4 linked regions of the Saccharomyces cerevisiae S288C genome follow. The gene in region 2 interacts genetically with the main gene of each other region. Each region holds a gene or a part of one and is shown on either strand. Other genes may lie near its edges. The genes, in order: UGA3, RMP1, ITT1 and BCH2.

What was found.
Region 1: mutations in RMP1 (region 2) and UGA3 together harm fitness more than expected from each alone (negative genetic interaction), as found in Saccharomyces cerevisiae (one large-scale study listed by BioGRID).
Region 3: mutations in RMP1 (region 2) and ITT1 together harm fitness less than expected from each alone (positive genetic interaction), as found in Saccharomyces cerevisiae (one large-scale study listed by BioGRID).
Region 4: mutations in RMP1 (region 2) and BCH2 together harm fitness more than expected from each alone (negative genetic interaction), as found in Saccharomyces cerevisiae (one large-scale study listed by BioGRID).

Annotation. Positions count from the first base shown.
Region 1 is NC_001136.10:154,678-158,970, reverse strand, and holds UGA3 (Uga3p), read right to left. Parts: upstream 2,654-4,293; coding exon 1,067-2,653; downstream 1-1,066. Other genes in the region: UGX2 (Ugx2p), read left to right, coding at 236-907; GLT1 (glutamate synthase (NADH)), read left to right, coding at 3,331-4,293. UniProt on the Saccharomyces cerevisiae protein: GABA-dependent positive regulation of genes required for catabolism of GABA (UGA4, UGA1, and UGA2).
Region 2 is NC_001144.5:430,229-433,740, reverse strand, and holds RMP1 (Rmp1p), read right to left. Parts: upstream 1,574-3,512; coding exon 968-1,573; downstream 1-967. Other genes in the region: SPE4 (spermine synthase), read left to right, coding at 16-918; ACF2 (endo-1,3(4)-beta-glucanase), read left to right, coding at 1,725-3,512. UniProt on the Saccharomyces cerevisiae protein: Functions as part of ribonuclease MRP (RNase MRP), which is involved in rRNA processing in mitochondria.
Region 3 is NC_001145.3:135,796-139,875, reverse strand, and holds ITT1 (RBR-type E3 ubiquitin transferase), read right to left. Parts: upstream 2,327-4,080; coding exon 932-2,326; downstream 1-931. Other genes in the region: ERV41 (Erv41p), read left to right, coding at 1-813; FACT complex subunit POB3, read right to left, coding at 2,718-4,080. UniProt on the Saccharomyces cerevisiae protein: E3 ubiquitin-protein ligase involved in translation quality control. Involved in the rescue of stalled ribosomes by promoting ubiquitination and degradation of proteins on stalled ribosomes.
Region 4 is NC_001143.9:489,715-494,727, reverse strand, and holds BCH2 (Bch2p), read right to left. Parts: upstream 3,365-5,013; coding exon 1,067-3,364; downstream 1-1,066. Other genes in the region: SAP190 (Sap190p), read right to left, coding at 1-471. UniProt on the Saccharomyces cerevisiae protein: Member of the CHS5-ARF1P-binding proteins (CHAPS) which mediates export of specific cargo proteins, including chitin synthase CHS3.

The sequences.
Region 1 (4,293 bases), on a different chromosome or scaffold from region 2:
CAGAATCATGTTAATGGTTCTTTTTGTCTTTTCTGTGATGCATATTCAGTAGTCTGTGATGAGCATCCCCCCACAAGAAGGGCAATTTGATGAAATTCTTACTAGCGCCGTTCGGAACGAGGTAAGGGCGCTTTTTAAAGGGAAAGAGCGTATCATTTGATAAGGATAAATTGAAATCAGTACCAGCGTTAAATGCAGATAGTTATATCGTGTTCATAACCGCTACTGAAGAGTCATGGAGGATAAGGAGAAACTTATTGTATACTCAAATACCAGTTCGGTATTTACATATAGTGCAGAAATAAGGCCAAATTTTAAAATATCTGTATCTCAAAGTCAAGGTTTTGCCTGGAACCAGGACTTATTCGCCACACAATACCAACAATCATATAAGGTGGTATATGATGCACACGAGGACAACTTTGATGAGTTAATTTTGAAGATCAAGGGCAAATTAAAGACAAAATCTAATAAAAGAGCTAAAATGAAGTCTAAGACTAAATTAACAAGGACTGCAAAGCAGAGAAGGGAAAGCCCCGTTTGTGAAAGGGACGAGAGTGACGAGGATAATGATAGTGATCACTACCAAAGAATACAAGTGCTAGATGGCCATGAATTTCCGAGAGCAAATCGGTATAAATCTGTATGGGCTCATGACGTCCACTCGAATGAAGATAGTACAAGCGACGGGGAAAGCAATCATGATATAGATATGATTGGCGGCACTGGCACGTCGTATGCAGGAGCAGCCATAATGGATAGGCCACGCAGGAAATCTGAGAGAAGCATAAGCTTTGTGGAGGACTCCAAGACAGGCGATTACAGGTATCAAACCGGGCAGGTGGATGTTGTAGAGGTGGACTCGGACACCCCTGAAAATAATCACCTAAAATGGTTAATTAAATAATTACTTCTATGTCTCAACGTTAGCATTTCTACATTGTATAGGTATAAATTGTTTTTGAATCCGTACGTCCTACAAAAAAAAAAAAGAACATATATATGTTTGTGTGGTGAAACAATAATTTAAGACACCCAGGGGGCGGGGAAAGAAAATATATGCTGCTCAGGCAAAATTAATATTGTAATCTAATTCGTCAATCATGTGGACCAGGTCATGCTCACTGATGCCATCAGCCTCGTTTTGCCAAATTTTCCGTATCAATAATCTAGCATTTTGGAAATTGTAACATTTATATCGTTTTAAAATGTCGTCAAATTTGGCTTCCAAATCTATTTTTTTCTCCATATCTTCTACCTGAATGCATACACCGTAAATGAAAAGTGGGAAGCATAACGATCCTTCCAAAAAAGTTCCGATGACCTTGTCTAGCTTCGAGTCCAATTTGTTTCTCAGTATCTGTAGTTCCAGCGAATCTTTGTCAATCTTTAATAAAGTTAATTGAAAGAACATTAAGGTAGAAATTTTCATTATCTCGAATAGTTCTAAATAGTAAAATTTCTTTTCATCATCCAAATGTTCCAGCGCCATAAGCGAAGGTTGTAATTTATAAATCTCGACTTGCAAACTCAAAATTTTATCGCCATGCTCTAGCATTTCTTCCTGTTCCATAGTCTGCAAAAACCTCGTCAAATTTGTGACTTGTCCCAATAGTAGTAAAATAGGCTTGTTGATGCCAATTAAAGGGTCTATTTCCTCAATTGGCGAGTCTATTGACTCAATAAAGTTGGCTGAGCTGGGTAAAGAGTTCTGATCCCTTTGGAAGAATTTCTCGTATTGTTCGATCGGGAAGGACGTTGTATTGAAATTCAAAATATCATGATATATAAAATTCACAATCAGCCAGTACTTAACAACGGAATTGAAATTGGGGAAGATTATCCTCTCCTCTAGGGAGGGTTCTTCTGTAGTAGTGGTTAGTATCCGTGAGACATCCTTGCCCACATGGTTTTCGATCAAATTTTTTCCTATATTCAATAATATCTTCCAAAATTTCACATCACCCTGACATATCTCTGAACCACATAAGATTAGGATTTGTGCTAGTGAATATAGAAACCCCAGTTTAGCACAGGCACTTGAGCCCTCGTTTGTCTTTAGATGCGATAACGACATGTATGTATACTTGTTCGCCAAGTTGACAAATATTTCATCCTTTCGCAGCTCATTTGATGATGATATAGACAAATGATTAGCTGACCAAGCAAGAATAGCAAACAATATACCATCATTCTCGTGGGCCATTGGCAAGAAAATGTTCAGATAGTAGTTCTGGTTCATGGGCGCGATGGAAATTATGTTTGCAAGGTGAGACCTGTAGTAGTTGTACAGCTGCAATCCCATAGAGTCCAGCTTCTGAGAAATGCAATCTTCCAGCGGTTTTGACAAATATACCTGGTTATCCTGTTCGTCGCTACCGACCCGTCGAGTACGGGTGGCCACGGCCGCTTTCTGAGCACTGTCAGGAGCATGCTTTCTTTTCTTGCTGATCAACTGGTGCTGTATATCTGCCTTTATTTTTTTCAAAGACTGCTTATCAACAGATTCTGATATATAGATACAGGGAAAACTTAATCGACGACAGTCCCGGCACACAGGTTTATCTTCAGAGCATCTCTTCTTTCTGATCTTGCAAGTAATACACCCATGCTTCGAATATTTCAATTTCAGCTTCTCCACGCCATAATTCATACCTCACTTTAAAAAACTTTGTTTTCTTGGCATCCATACATGAACAATAACAACAATTCTATATCATCTTAAGTAAGACTCTTATTGTAATTTCTTTTTCTTTGATGACTCAGACCCTGGTAGCCCTACCGTTCAACCCTATACAGCGCAAATTTGGTCCTAATACACTTCGGTTTTAATGCGTCAATCCGATTGGCTCCGATAAGCTTTTGCACATTTTTCAAGTCATATGTCACGACGAACGTGATGCCCGCAAAACGTAAAAAAAAGAAGCAATAAATTGCCCAAAAAAAAAATATAAACTGCTTTTCTTAGTCATTCATAAGTTCTGATGGTCTTCCTTATCTTATTGTATTTTTCGTCCTATTGTTTCATTTCTTACCAAATTAATCAATTCTTATATCTTACTTGATAACACACCAAACTAATCGTCTCCACATCATAGGAAGATAGGAAATTGCTATCTCAGTCCTATACTACGCAGACGGATACTCTCAGTTGCTCTTTCTTCCCCTTCTTTTAGCTCATTGAGGTAGTGATTAACGTTTAACTTATTTATTTATTTTTCTGCTTCAGTTTTTTTTTATTTATTTTTGTCTTTCTACTCTCTCTTTTTTCTTAATCTATTTGCCATTTATTTATTTTGAAGAACTAGAAAAAGAATTAGAAAAGAAAGCATGCCAGTGTTGAAATCAGACAATTTCGATCCATTGGAAGAAGCTTACGAAGGTGGGACAATTCAAAACTATAACGATGAACACCATCTTCATAAATCTTGGGCAAATGTGATTCCGGACAAACGAGGACTTTACGACCCTGATTATGAACATGACGCTTGTGGTGTCGGTTTCGTAGCAAATAAGCATGGTGAACAGTCTCACAAGATTGTTACTGACGCTAGATATCTTTTAGTGAATATGACACATCGTGGTGCCGTCTCATCTGATGGGAACGGTGACGGTGCCGGTATTCTGCTAGGTATTCCTCACGAATTTATGAAAAGAGAATTCAAGTTAGATCTTGATCTAGACATACCTGAGATGGGCAAATACGCCGTAGGTAACGTCTTCTTCAAGAAGAACGAAAAAAATAACAAGAAAAATTTAATTAAGTGTCAGAAGATTTTCGAGGATTTAGCTGCATCCTTCAACTTATCCGTATTAGGTTGGAGAAACGTCCCCGTAGATTCTACTATTTTAGGAGACGTTGCATTATCTCGTGAACCTACTATTCTACAGCCATTATTGGTTCCATTGTATGATGAAAAACAACCGGAGTTTAATGAAACTAAATTTAGAACTCAATTGTATCTTTTAAGGAAGGAGGCCTCTCTTCAAATAGGACTGGAAAACTGGTTCTATGTTTGTTCCCTAAACAATACCACCATTGTTTACAAGGGTCAATTGACGCCAGCTCAAGTGTATAACTACTATCCCGACTTGACTAATGCGCATTTCAAATCCCACATGGCGTTGGTCCATTCAAGATTTTCCACTAATACTTTCCCCTCTTGGGATAGAGCTCAACCTTTACGTTGGCTAGCTCATAATGGTGAAATTAACACCTTAAGAGGTAACAAGAATTGGATGCGCTCCAGAGAAGGTGTGATGAATTCAGCAACTTTCAAAGATGAGTTAGAC
Region 2 (3,512 bases):
ATTCAGTTATACATTATGGTTAATAATTCACAGCATCCTTACATCAAAGATGGATGGTTTAGAGAGATTAATGATAAAAGTTTTCCGGGCCAGGCCTTTACTATGACCGTGGACTCAATACTTTATGAAGCCCGCAGTGAATTTCAGGACATCTTAATCTTCCGTAACAAGGTATACGGTACTGTTTTGGTCCTCGATGGTATTGTCCAATGTACGGAATTTGATGAGTTTGCCTATCAAGAGATGATCACCCACATTGCCATGTTTGCGCATTCTAATCCCAAGCGTGTACTTATCATTGGCGGTGGGGACGGAGGTGTCTTAAGGGAAGTAGCCAAGCACAGCTGTGTAGAAGATATCACTATGGTAGAAATTGACTCATCAGTGATCGAATTATCCCGTAAGTTCTTGCCCACATTGAGTAATGGTGCTTTCGATGACGAAAGGTTGGACTTGAAACTTTGCGATGGCTTCAAGTTCTTACAAGATATAGGTGCTTCCGACGTCCATAAGAAATTTGACGTCATTATTACAGATAGTTCTGATCCTGAAGGTCCAGCTGAAGCGTTTTTTCAAGAGAGGTATTTCGAACTATTGAAAGATGCTTTAAATCCTAATGGCGTTGTTATTATGCAAAGCTCTGAAAATTTTTGGTTAAATTTAAAATACTTACATGATTTGAAAAATACAGCCAAAAAGGTATTTCCTAATACAGAATATTGCTATACCATGGTTCCAACCTATACATCTGGCCAATTAGGTTTAATTGTTTGCAGTAATAACGCCAATATACCGTTGAACATTCCGCAAAGAAAGATATCTGAGCAAGAACAAGGGAAGCTGAAGTACTATAATCCTCAAATACATTCTAGTGCGTTTGTTTTGCCTACTTGGGCAGACAAGGTCATTAATGAATGATTTATTAGCATTGATATTATTATTTTAAAAAGTCTATTTACTTGTATATTTATCCGAATATGCCATCAATGGCTGATTTGTTCTTCTTTTTCCTTTTCTTTTTCTTCTTACAGTTCTCTGTCAGAGGCTTTGGTATAGACGTTATCACTAGTTCGTTTTCTTGAACGTTGTTGCCAATATCTTCATCTATAATTTCTCCAAGTTCTTCGACATCGTTCACAACCGATTTTGCTTTTGTTCTCGGTAAGTTCTTTATTAAGCATCCACATCTTATAAACTCAGTTTCATTAATCTCCCATAATCTCATATACAGTGCCCTCACATTTGCCAGCAATGTTACTAGTGTACAACCCAACGTTACAAATTGTCCCAGCGCAATTACGCCATTGAACTGCCAGTACCATCTCTTTAACTGTCTAAAAAGTGCTCTCTGTAATAGCCTGTGCAACTTGACCCATTCAACATCTTTAAGGCGTTTGGCTTGTAATCTTCTCGAGCTAAAAAGCGTTATTATTTGTCCACAATTTCTTTTCATCTCATTGAACGATCCATACCAGCTAGCCGCTCTATGTTGATTTTTGTTCCTATGGTTCAAGAGCAATATTAACCGATATTCTTGCTCCAGAGATCGTATCACATTATCCATCTCATCCATTTTGTTTCTGCTCTTTTTTTTTTTGTGGATATATCATTCTAGTACTCATTTCTTTGAAGTTTTTTTCTTGGAACCATAAATAAAATTCATGAATTTCTGAAAAGTGCTAGTATCATAAAAACAAAAATAAATAAATACGAGAAGTAAAAAGATGTGTTACAGTAGGCAAGCCATTCCTCCACCTGTTCCTAATAGACCTGGCGGTACTACCAATAGAGGACCTCCTCCCTTACCACCTCGCGCAAATGTTCAGCCACCAGTTTGTTCTTCTGAGAACTCCAGTAAACCTCGAGAAAATAGGGTGGCAGGTGAATCACTGCGCACACCAAGCAGTTCTAACCCTTTAGCTGACAGCCAGGTGAATAGTGACAATATTTTTCAATCACCTGTCCTTTCTAACTTAAAAGCTCCTCCTTCCGTCTTCAACAAAGTTCAACACCCGGTACCAAAGCCGAATATTGATGATCAATCTGTTGATCCATTGGAGACAAACAAGTTCTACACAAACATGTTATTAGACGATAATACACAACCTATATGGACACATCCTTATTCAATTTGGTTTTCTCGTGATCCAGAATTGTTTGGTTTGGCCGCCAATCATACTTTAGCGTCTCAAAGGGTTTTTGATACAACTACAAATCCTCCCAGATTCTACTTCAATCCCACAAATATAAAATCATTTGTATTCAAGGCCAGGGAATTTGTCTCTTCAAATGATATCAAGCTTGAATTCCGGGATATGAAACATATGTCCATGTGCTTACTAATGTCTTTGAGTAGTTCCCAGTTTATAGAATTCCCGCTGGTTCAGGGGATGGGCTTTGTCACGGCTATTTACCACGATTTGGGTTTTGAATTAAGAAGCGCCGTTGGTTTCAGGAGCTTAGAGCGCATAAGCGTGAATGAAAGATATGGTAAATATAATATACAACTTGAGAATAATAGGAATTGGATACTTTATTTGACCTCACCTGATTACTCTTTTCCACAAGATTTTCAAATTTCATTACTCGACAGCAATACAATAATATCATCTCATAAAATCAATGGTCTTATCTGTCAATTATCTGCAGACTCCGTCCCCAGTATTGACATGGCAGCGGGCTGTTATCCAGTATACTGTGACCTATCAGGGCAAACTGTTGATGAACATTTCACAAATTACAGATTTAACTATACGGTTGCAGGCTACTCGCAGTCTGGAACTACTCTAATGTATGCTTTACCACATCATAAAGCGGCATTCACACCAGAAATGCAGGAACGTGAAATTGCCTCAAGCCTGGATTCCACAGTTAAAGGCTTAATGACTGGTTATCTCACAAACAGTTTTGATATGCAGGTTCAAGTACCTCAAGAATTGGGCTTTGAACCTGTCGCGTTATCTTTGAATAAGAAGGCAGATTACAGTCAAGAAAAGCTATCTAAAATTCGGGAAGCTGCTGTTCAAGAAGTTCAATTGAGTGACCCTCAACAAGAATCAAACATAGATTCTATGTATTTCTCTGGTAAGATACTTGCAAAGTATGCGTGGATTCTTTATGTGACACATTACATCCTTCATGATGAAAATTTAACAAAAGAATTATTATCTAAACTGACTATTGCAATGGAGAGATTCATCAGCAATCAGCAAGTCTTACCTTTAAATTACGACGTTAGTTGGAAAGGCATAATTTCATCAGGCTCTTCTAGCCAAGACTTTGGTAACTCTTATTATAATGATCATCATTTTCATTACTCTTATCATGTCATAACGGCTGCCATTATCTCTTTAGTCGATTCTGATTTAAGTGGAGTTACTAACAACTCCTGGTTAGAAAATAATAGAGATTGGGTTGAGTGCTTAATTAGAGATTACTCTGGTGTTGACAACGATGATCCGTACTTCCCTCAATTTAGGTCATTTGATTGGTTTAATGGCCATTCATGGGCC
Region 3 (4,080 bases), on a different chromosome or scaffold from region 2:
AACGTCAGAGACCAAACAATGGATCGGAAACTTGTATTAGAGGAATTGCAATTGGAAGAGATGCCATTCTTTATTCCTTATGACACAAAAGTCAATGATATCAATGAAATTATTACGCCGGAATTGGATGAAATCTTAGGGGAAGCTATCCCAGCAGAATTTAGAGAAAAACTAGATACTAGGTCATTTTTTGATGAAAGTGATCCTAACAAGGCACATCTTCCGGAATTCAATGGGTGCCATGTATTTGGGTCCATTCCGGTAAATAGAGTTAGTGGCGAATTGCAGATTACAGCGAAGAGTTTAGGTTACGTGGCTTCACGCAAAGCACCACTGGAAGAATTAAAATTTAATCATGTTATTAATGAGTTCTCTTTTGGTGATTTCTATCCATATATTGATAACCCATTGGATAACACTGCACAGTTTAATCAGGATGAACCTTTAACTACTTACGTCTATTACACATCTGTTGTGCCCACTCTTTTCAAGAAATTGGGGGCAGAAGTGGATACTAATCAATATTCTGTTAACGATTACCGCTATTTGTACAAAGATGTCGCTGCTAAAGGTGATAAAATGCCGGGCATCTTCTTCAAATACAATTTCGAACCATTATCCATAGTAGTTTCTGATGTTCGTTTAAGCTTTATACAGTTTTTGGTCAGATTAGTGGCAATCTGCTCATTTTTGGTCTACTGTGCTTCGTGGATTTTCACACTACTGGATATGGCTCTTATCACCATCATGGGACCTAAGTGGTCCTTGCGTTATCAGCCAGATGATAAAACTAAGGGTATTTTAGATAGGTAGATATGTAAAAGAAAAGAGAATGCAGTATACCCAAGATAACGTTTCATTTTCATCTGTATAAATTTCATGACAATAGATTATAAGAAAAAGTGTGAGACTGAAGGCAGAGCGATCGCACTCAAGTTTCTGTGCCAGGCATACCTTCAAACAATCGTCCATAACAGCCTGAATATGCTTCTCTAAAATGTTCATAAGGGTCCTCAGGATAAAGTAATACTCCGCATATAAAACAGAACAGCGTCCCGCATACTTCGCATTTCATTTTATTGCAACCTTCACTTCTTTCTACAACTACCTTACACTTTGGACATCGCTGCAAATTCGAACCCTCTTTTTTAATCGCTAAATCTAACATTTTTTCAGCAAGGTAATCATTGACTTCAAGTTCTAATACTCTTCTCCCATATTTTGCCTCCAGTTTCCGCTTTCTCTCATATGAAGTAACGGTATCATCTAGATATTCCTCAATAATATCGGTCGATAACGAAACTTTCTTGCCACATTTATTGTTGTAACCATGCCAGGCATGCAAGCAGTCAAAGCAAAATACAAAATGACATTTTTGACACTGAATCATCGCATCATCGAGGTCTTCTTTTGTGCACCAACTATCACATCTTCGACAAGTCACACAAGCATACGGACAATATTTTGAGAGTCTTGTAGCCGCCTGGTTGTAGAACATTTTTTCGTATCTTTCACATAGCTCTGTATCGATAACCTCTTTTAAGAAGGACACTGGAATCAAAGGTGTAAACAATGCCTTCAGCATTTTTTTATAGCTCTTGAAATCTTCTAGTTTTAATTCTTTGTATTCGCATTGTGGACATCTTACACTGGATATTCGGTTTTCCTGAATCATTGCAGTGAAATAAGATTTGGCGCATCCTCTGCAAAGATAGTGTTCTACATTCGCATTTTCACATGGCAATTTGATCATTCTAACACCCTTTTCCATTTCCATACAAATACAACAATGGTAGTTAGATCTGCTCACTTTTTGGAGGGTGGCTTCCTCACTTATCTGCTTAAACAAGTCATACTGATCCTGTGTCAGGCACTTTCTTATTCCATTAGGGAATAGTAATATAGCTGTATCATCTATAAGAAACCCAAAGATGAGGATAAGGATGGAGGTAAACGAATCCGCGAACTCAATACTCATATCTACAGTTTCTTCAACGAGTCTCAGCGCTTTGTCAATTAACATCTTCTTTTCATCTGTTGATATCCATAAGGATTTGATATCCATAACAACACACCGTCGAATGTCCGGATAATGACAGCTATATATGGTGAACTCCACGCATTCATTAGATAAGTTTGAAAGTAACATATGTTGCTCGCCGAACTCAATATTTACATCGGCCAATAGTGATATCTTGAACAGTAACTTTCCGTTAATTCTTTGAGGGAATTCACCTTCCTCCTCTACTTTTACCGATTTCATTTCCAGTTCTGGGTACATATCTCTTAATATTTCCAAATCATTTTCAAACTGAGTCAAAGCCATTTTACTCCCTGGTCTTTCATCAGTTATATTAGTTTTCTGTAATTCGTTATTCTACACCATGACATAACTTACTGGTGACTAAATGAGAAAAGCAAAGTCCCTTTCTCTTGCTTGTTATTTATTTTTGAACCCTTTACACTATTTGTCTTTTTTTCATCACCCAATCGAAAAGTTGAAAGTATTTTTCAAGCATTGAAAGGGTAGAGGAGATTAACAAAACATAAATATTTTGCAAAACAAAACCAATTTCAAATAAATGTATAGAATAACACCAGTAATTAAGAGGTGGTGTCTTACACTCACCATGTCATGATAATATCAATTGGCAAAATATATTAGTTAGTTTTTACACAATATCAATAAATTTAACTTATACAGTCTAAAATTATTACTATTCTACCTTAGGCTTCTTCGAAGGCCTTTCTTCGTCGCTACCCCCCTCAGCATCACTTAAAGCCGCATCTGAATCAAACTCTTCTGCAACTTCGTCTGCGTCATTATCAGAGCTGACCTGAAAATCCTCATCTACTGATTCATCATCTTCACCAGCGGAACCCATATTAATATCCTCTTCGTCACTGTCTGAACCTAAAGCGGTTTGTAACCTTTCTTGTACCTCTCTATCTTCATTCTTCACCCTTAGGTTTTTAGACTTTAGGAATTGTTCCAATAATTGCTGCTCTTCCTTACTGATGTTGGCAAAAGTGGTAGAACCTCTATTTGAACGCAGTACCACTTCCAAATCAAACGTCCTCGATGACGTAGAAGTTTGTCCTGCTCTTGAAATGTTTACCATGCTAACATCACTGAATGGTATGTACAAAGTTGGCTTAGTTAAAAAGAAGAAAGCGTTATCTAATGGATACAAATAACCTTCGTTTGCTTTGAAAGAACATGAAACTGCACACTGATCATATTTGGATTTATATTCTCCAGGAACAATGACTCTACGGTCAGTCAGACCTTTTAATACATGACTTAAAACTATATGAGTTTTAGCATCATATTGTTTTTTCAATTTATCCTTATAATTTTCCTCATAATCTTCATCTTCTAGATTCAATTGCACTTCTGTTTCCTCATCTTTCTGAAATTGTAAGACAAGAAAGGGGTAGGTGGTCTGTCCTTGACGTAAAGGAGGTTCAATTGCCAAAACCAATAAGTGATGGATATCATCTGCCTTTGGTAACGAAACAATTCTTTGTATTTGACGATGTTGCAATTTGTATTCATAGGTCTTACCCCTGAGTCTAATGGAGTTCTTGTAAATATCGATATCATAACGACCTCTTGGCGTGGTAAAAAAGACGTCTTGGAAGGAAACTATTGCATCACCAGCGACTTCCCCGATGTCTGCCTTTTCCTTTAGTTCTTCATAGAATGCTTCTGCCATACTCTTTTCCTCTACTGCCATTTGTACATCTTCTCCTTCAGCACCATCTTCTTTCTTTGGTACGACCTCGTTGCTTGACTCTTCCTTTTTGGTCATGTTTTCATCGACGTTTGTTTGAATAACACCAGGAATATAGAACCTCATCTCTACCAATTCGTCACCGGCTGGTTGGTACTCTTCATCTTGAATATTAAATTCTATTCCTACTTCATTTTTAGAGGTCAAATTTGTATTATTTATTCTAGCATAAGGAATTTCAAAAGTTGGTTTACCATTTAAAGCAAAAACCATTTCATTCCTGGCAAGGTCTGTCTTACCCCAGTTCCAACCACGTAAGGAATGTTCTCTTTGCTCTACCTGA
Region 4 (5,013 bases), on a different chromosome or scaffold from region 2:
AGGATGATCGTTTACACCTTCAATAATCTCTGGCTTTTTAGCGCTATCTGTTTCTTCGTCGAGAATCTTCTCGTTGGTAACATATTCTATCAATTTTGATAAAACATCAGGATACTTCAAGAATATTAGTAGCTTGAAATTTGAACACATTAATTCCGTATACAGTTCGTCATCATCCAGCAAATCGTCTAAGACGTCCAAATTAGGTCTATAATTTTCATATTCCGATTCTGTAGTGGGCAGAGTATTTTCTTCTTCCTTCTCTTCGTTCTCGTTAACTACATTATCTTCAGAAGCAGCGTAGTCATGTGAAGAGTTATCTTCGTCATCAGCAATATTTTCTTCACATGTGCCGGTAGGTACGTCGTCATCTTGGTCCTTATTGATTTTAATAAAGGCACTATTTAGAATCTTAGAAACCGGTGACTCTATCGAGTAATCCTGACCAAACTTCCAGAAAGAACCTGACATGCTATTATAATCTTCTCGCAGTTAAGTAAATGAAGAAATGAAATAAAAGAAGAGGATAACAGGACTTATCAACTAAACGCTAAAGTAAATGAACAAACAAAACAAAAGATGATAAAGAAAATGCTAAAGGTGAAAATACTTCAATGAGGTACCCTTCGTATCTTATAATACAAATAGAAAAAATGACAATTAACCGTACGAATTGCAAGGCAAATGCAACTCTTTATTCGTGAGCCGGCCTTTGCAAGAATAAAAAATTCTTGACTTGATAGAAAATCTATTACGAACAAACAATTGCCCGTCAAAAAAAAAGAAATAAAAGGTGAAATTACAATAGTAAATATCCAACACCTTTCTTATCTTTGATATGTCTTCGAATGGACAAGGAAAGAGCTGAAAAGGGTCTAGTATACCCTTGACGTATTGATGTTATTTTTACGCTGGTCATTTTTTACTCTGTCAAATCGTTGAAAAATTACTATTAGGATATTACCCGCGCTAAAGTATTAGCATTATCGCCGTAAATTTGTCCATTAAGAATACAGACACACACACACAGTATATATATATAGATTCATTAAATCAATTTGATCAGTTAGTCTGCCAGAGGTTTGATAGTGGAAGGAAGATCTGGAAGAGGGCGTTCATAGGCTAGGCAGGCTTCATTCCTATTTTTAGAGAGGCATTCAAGCATATAATCTATCACCGAAGTGATGCCAGCTTGCCCGTAAGGAGAATTAATTATTTTATTCTTAATAATTTCGGAGCCCAGCTGTCCCTCTAGTTTCCTTAGTACTTGAAGGGAAAATATCTGAAATCTATCATAGAATCGTATCCGAAAGGAGATCAATTTCACTAATAGATCTAAAATGATATCGACGTCAAACCTTCTCATAAACTCATCATTAAAATCCATGGTTAAATAAAAGTTCAACAGATGGTGACAACTAATAGGGTCAAACCTTGCCAAAATACTAGTTCGTAGACACGCTACTGCATCGGGTAAGTCACTCACTCGAAGCAGAGTTAAGCCAAGTAGTTCCCATTCCAACCCGCTGTATTTCGCCGTAGCCTTATTTTCTTGAGATGAAGTGCTAATACTTAAATCTTCGTAAACGTCCAGAAACATAGCATCAAACCATCTCTGACAGAGCCTCTTCTGGCGTAATTCTGTGGACAGCTTGTCCGAAGATTCTATCATTTTGAATTTACTCTCCATAACGAAAACGTCAGATCTTAGCTGAAGTAAGGCGTTCCAGCCGATTCTAGCGACTAATTCCATCAACAGAAGACGTACTTGCTTTATAAACCAACTCTCTTGTCTGGTTTCTTTGCTTCGTTTTAGTAACAGCATATCTCCTACTGTATTTACCTCCTGCTGAGATACAAAGTTTATGAGATTGTCACTCTGTGGTCCACAAATAGGTCCTAATTCAAGACAGGATTTATTCCATATCTCTTCAATACATCCATACTTAGATTCATTGGGCATTACAGTGCGTCCAAATATTATTGTCTTCAACTCCAACTCATTTTCATAATGCATAATATTCATGAGGTGATTTAACTCGTGTGATGTCATGGTACAGTGTTCTCTGCTATGACATAGTGGTGCCTTGTAGTAGTTCATATAAAACTTAAAAGCGTTAATCTGGGCTTGTTTAACGATATCATATTCCGCTAAACAGGGCATCGAATTGATTGAGAGCAGTGCCTTATCATACTGTTGTGAAAAAATATAGCCTTTAGATAACAGATACCAAGATTCAAAATTATCAGAAGATAAATTCGTGGCCAATGTGGAAATGGATAAAGAAAGTTCATAGTCGTTATTGTTCAATAGAAACCTTGCTTGGATGCTTAATACATCGGTGATGCAATTGATCAAATCAGAAATGTAAGGTTCATCGGATGGCAATCCATACAGTACGGGTAGTAATAGGTCTAATATCTCGTGTATCCGTTTGATCATTTCTACATCGCGGTCATTACTTCGCTCCATGATAGAAATAATTACAATAGCGTAATATCTAGAATTTGACGGGTCATTCGTCATCAAGTTGTCTAAAACCTGGATCGCATAGTCTGTTATGAATTCTGGAGTTATAGACAGAAATACTAATAATGATTCAGTTAGGTAGTTATTCAGTATCGTTGCATAGACGCTCTTTGTAGAATCCCAACCACATTCTAAAAATCTTGGCAAAAATTTGCATAACGAATCTATCACCCTTTTATAATCACTCGCGCATCTGTTCTCAAAAACAAATGGTAATTCCACTAGCCCAGGTATTTTTCTTTCAAAATCTGAATTAATAATTACGCTTCTTATGCAACAGCTAACGAAAGTTTCTTCCCAAATAAGATCACTCAACGGTATTTCATTGTTGCCATTTAAACAGTCAACGATATTAACTTGATAAACATCTTCAGATTCATATCTTAATCTAATGTCCAATTTTTGAAAGATATTGAAAGTGCAGTAGGTTGTGATGTCGTCGTTCTTCAAAGATGCTGATTTTAGTTTCTTACCATCATTCCATTTTATCAGCTTCAAAAATGCAATTGGCATAGAGACGCTCGAGGCGTCGATCCCCGTGATGTAAAAGAATTCACCTATTTTCTCATCGTGAAATTTATCTAACTCTGTACAATGAATCAAGTCTGGAGGACCAATACCAGATTTACCAGTGCTCACCAATTCACTTAAAAGGGACGTCCTAAAGATTAAACTTTCACCATGTACTTTTTCCAAAGTTCTTGGATAATCTATAGGAACGTTTTTACGTGTTGGTTTCACACGTTGCTGTGGAACAACACCTGACGGAAGAGAACCTGCAGCCTTTTTATTCTTGCCTTTCTTGGACTTTGTAGACCCCCATAAAAAACTCATATTCCTCGAGGCCAATTGATCTGTTAACTGTACTTTACTACTTATACTACTTGATATATATGCCCTTTCTTTGCACACAATGTCTCTTTATTGCCGTTTGTCATTTTGTTTTTTTTATTTTTATGTTGAATTTAGATACACCATTGTGCATACATCTTATTTTTCCCAAACGGTGTAACAATGCCTCGGAAACCTGATGACGAATTGCTAAAATAATACGGCATTGTACGGCACCAGGACTGGCAACGTAGCATTTCCAATATTATAATATTTTTACTCAATAACTGAAAAGATAATAAGAAAATTATAAAAGTAAAAAAATTCTTCCCCGCCAGGACTTGAACCTGGAATCTTCTGGTTCGTAGCCAGACGCCGTGACCATTGGGCCACGAGGAACAAGAATTATTAAGAGACATTAAAAATTGAGAACCCTAAGTATCAGCACTATTTATTGCATGATTTTTTACCTAATATAGTAGTTCAAATTACCAGACCCAACTAATCCTGCTCTAAGAAGTAAGAAATGTGTGAATTTTGAAATAATTGTTGGGTTCCATTGTGAATAAAAGCTATCATTGAGAAATGTTTGAATAATATGATAATTACTGGTGTTCCATTATTGTTGAAGGCTATGATACACAATATACTAAAAGTTCTCTTCGAGGATATTAGAAATGCGGAAGAAGGAATCGGTATTCATGAATAGTAATGTTATTGTCTCGTTTTTTTACTTTATATGCTTATTCTTTATCTTGTTACGTTATCAATGCTTGCATTTCAGCTTCTATTATATTTAATAACCGTTTCTCATTCTTAATGTCATCTTCTTACACTGTGTATGAGAACATACTGCTAATTTGTGTGCTAGTGCATAGATGGTAGTTAATTCTTATTCAGACAAAAAGTTTTAGTATCTGATCTGTTGTTAAACATGTTAGATAAGTATTTTTTGGAATAAAGATCCACTATCGTATATTGGCTAGCGGTCGTGACACTAATATGTTATTACATACTGCATAAATAGAATACACAAATCGTGAGGTACAGTCATCCAATGTTGTGGAAGTCGATACTCAAGACCTAAAGAAAAATAAAATTTCTGAATGAAAAACATAACGATAGTAAAAATGAGCGGTATGTTATGACATAGGAGATAGAAGAACAAAACTGATCTGATCAAATTATTTTAAGAATATTTTACTAGTATGTTTACTACATGACAATCTGCAGCAGTGCCAGCTACATGGTGATCTCTCCAAAACAGACCAAACAATTTGCGCTTGTATTGCTTTTCAAAATAAAACTAAACATATGTAATTGTGCTTACAAGAATTGCTAGCTATATCTTATGTTGGTAATAGATAACGATTAGTAATACCTTTTATGAGAAAGAATAAGGAGGCAATGCCATCATTTTCGCCACATTAAGAGTGCACGACTCTATCCAGGGAATTTGATACAACACAGCAACATTGTCGCCATATTTAAAGCTTTCTACATAGCATAATGTTTTTTTTTTTTTACAATAGATAAATTTCATCCGGAAGAAAAATGAAAAAAAAATGAAAAAATTGGTGAAGTTTATGGTGTAAAATGAGAATCATACTGCTCAAATAGTGACAAAGCCATCATTAATCATAGATTTCTTC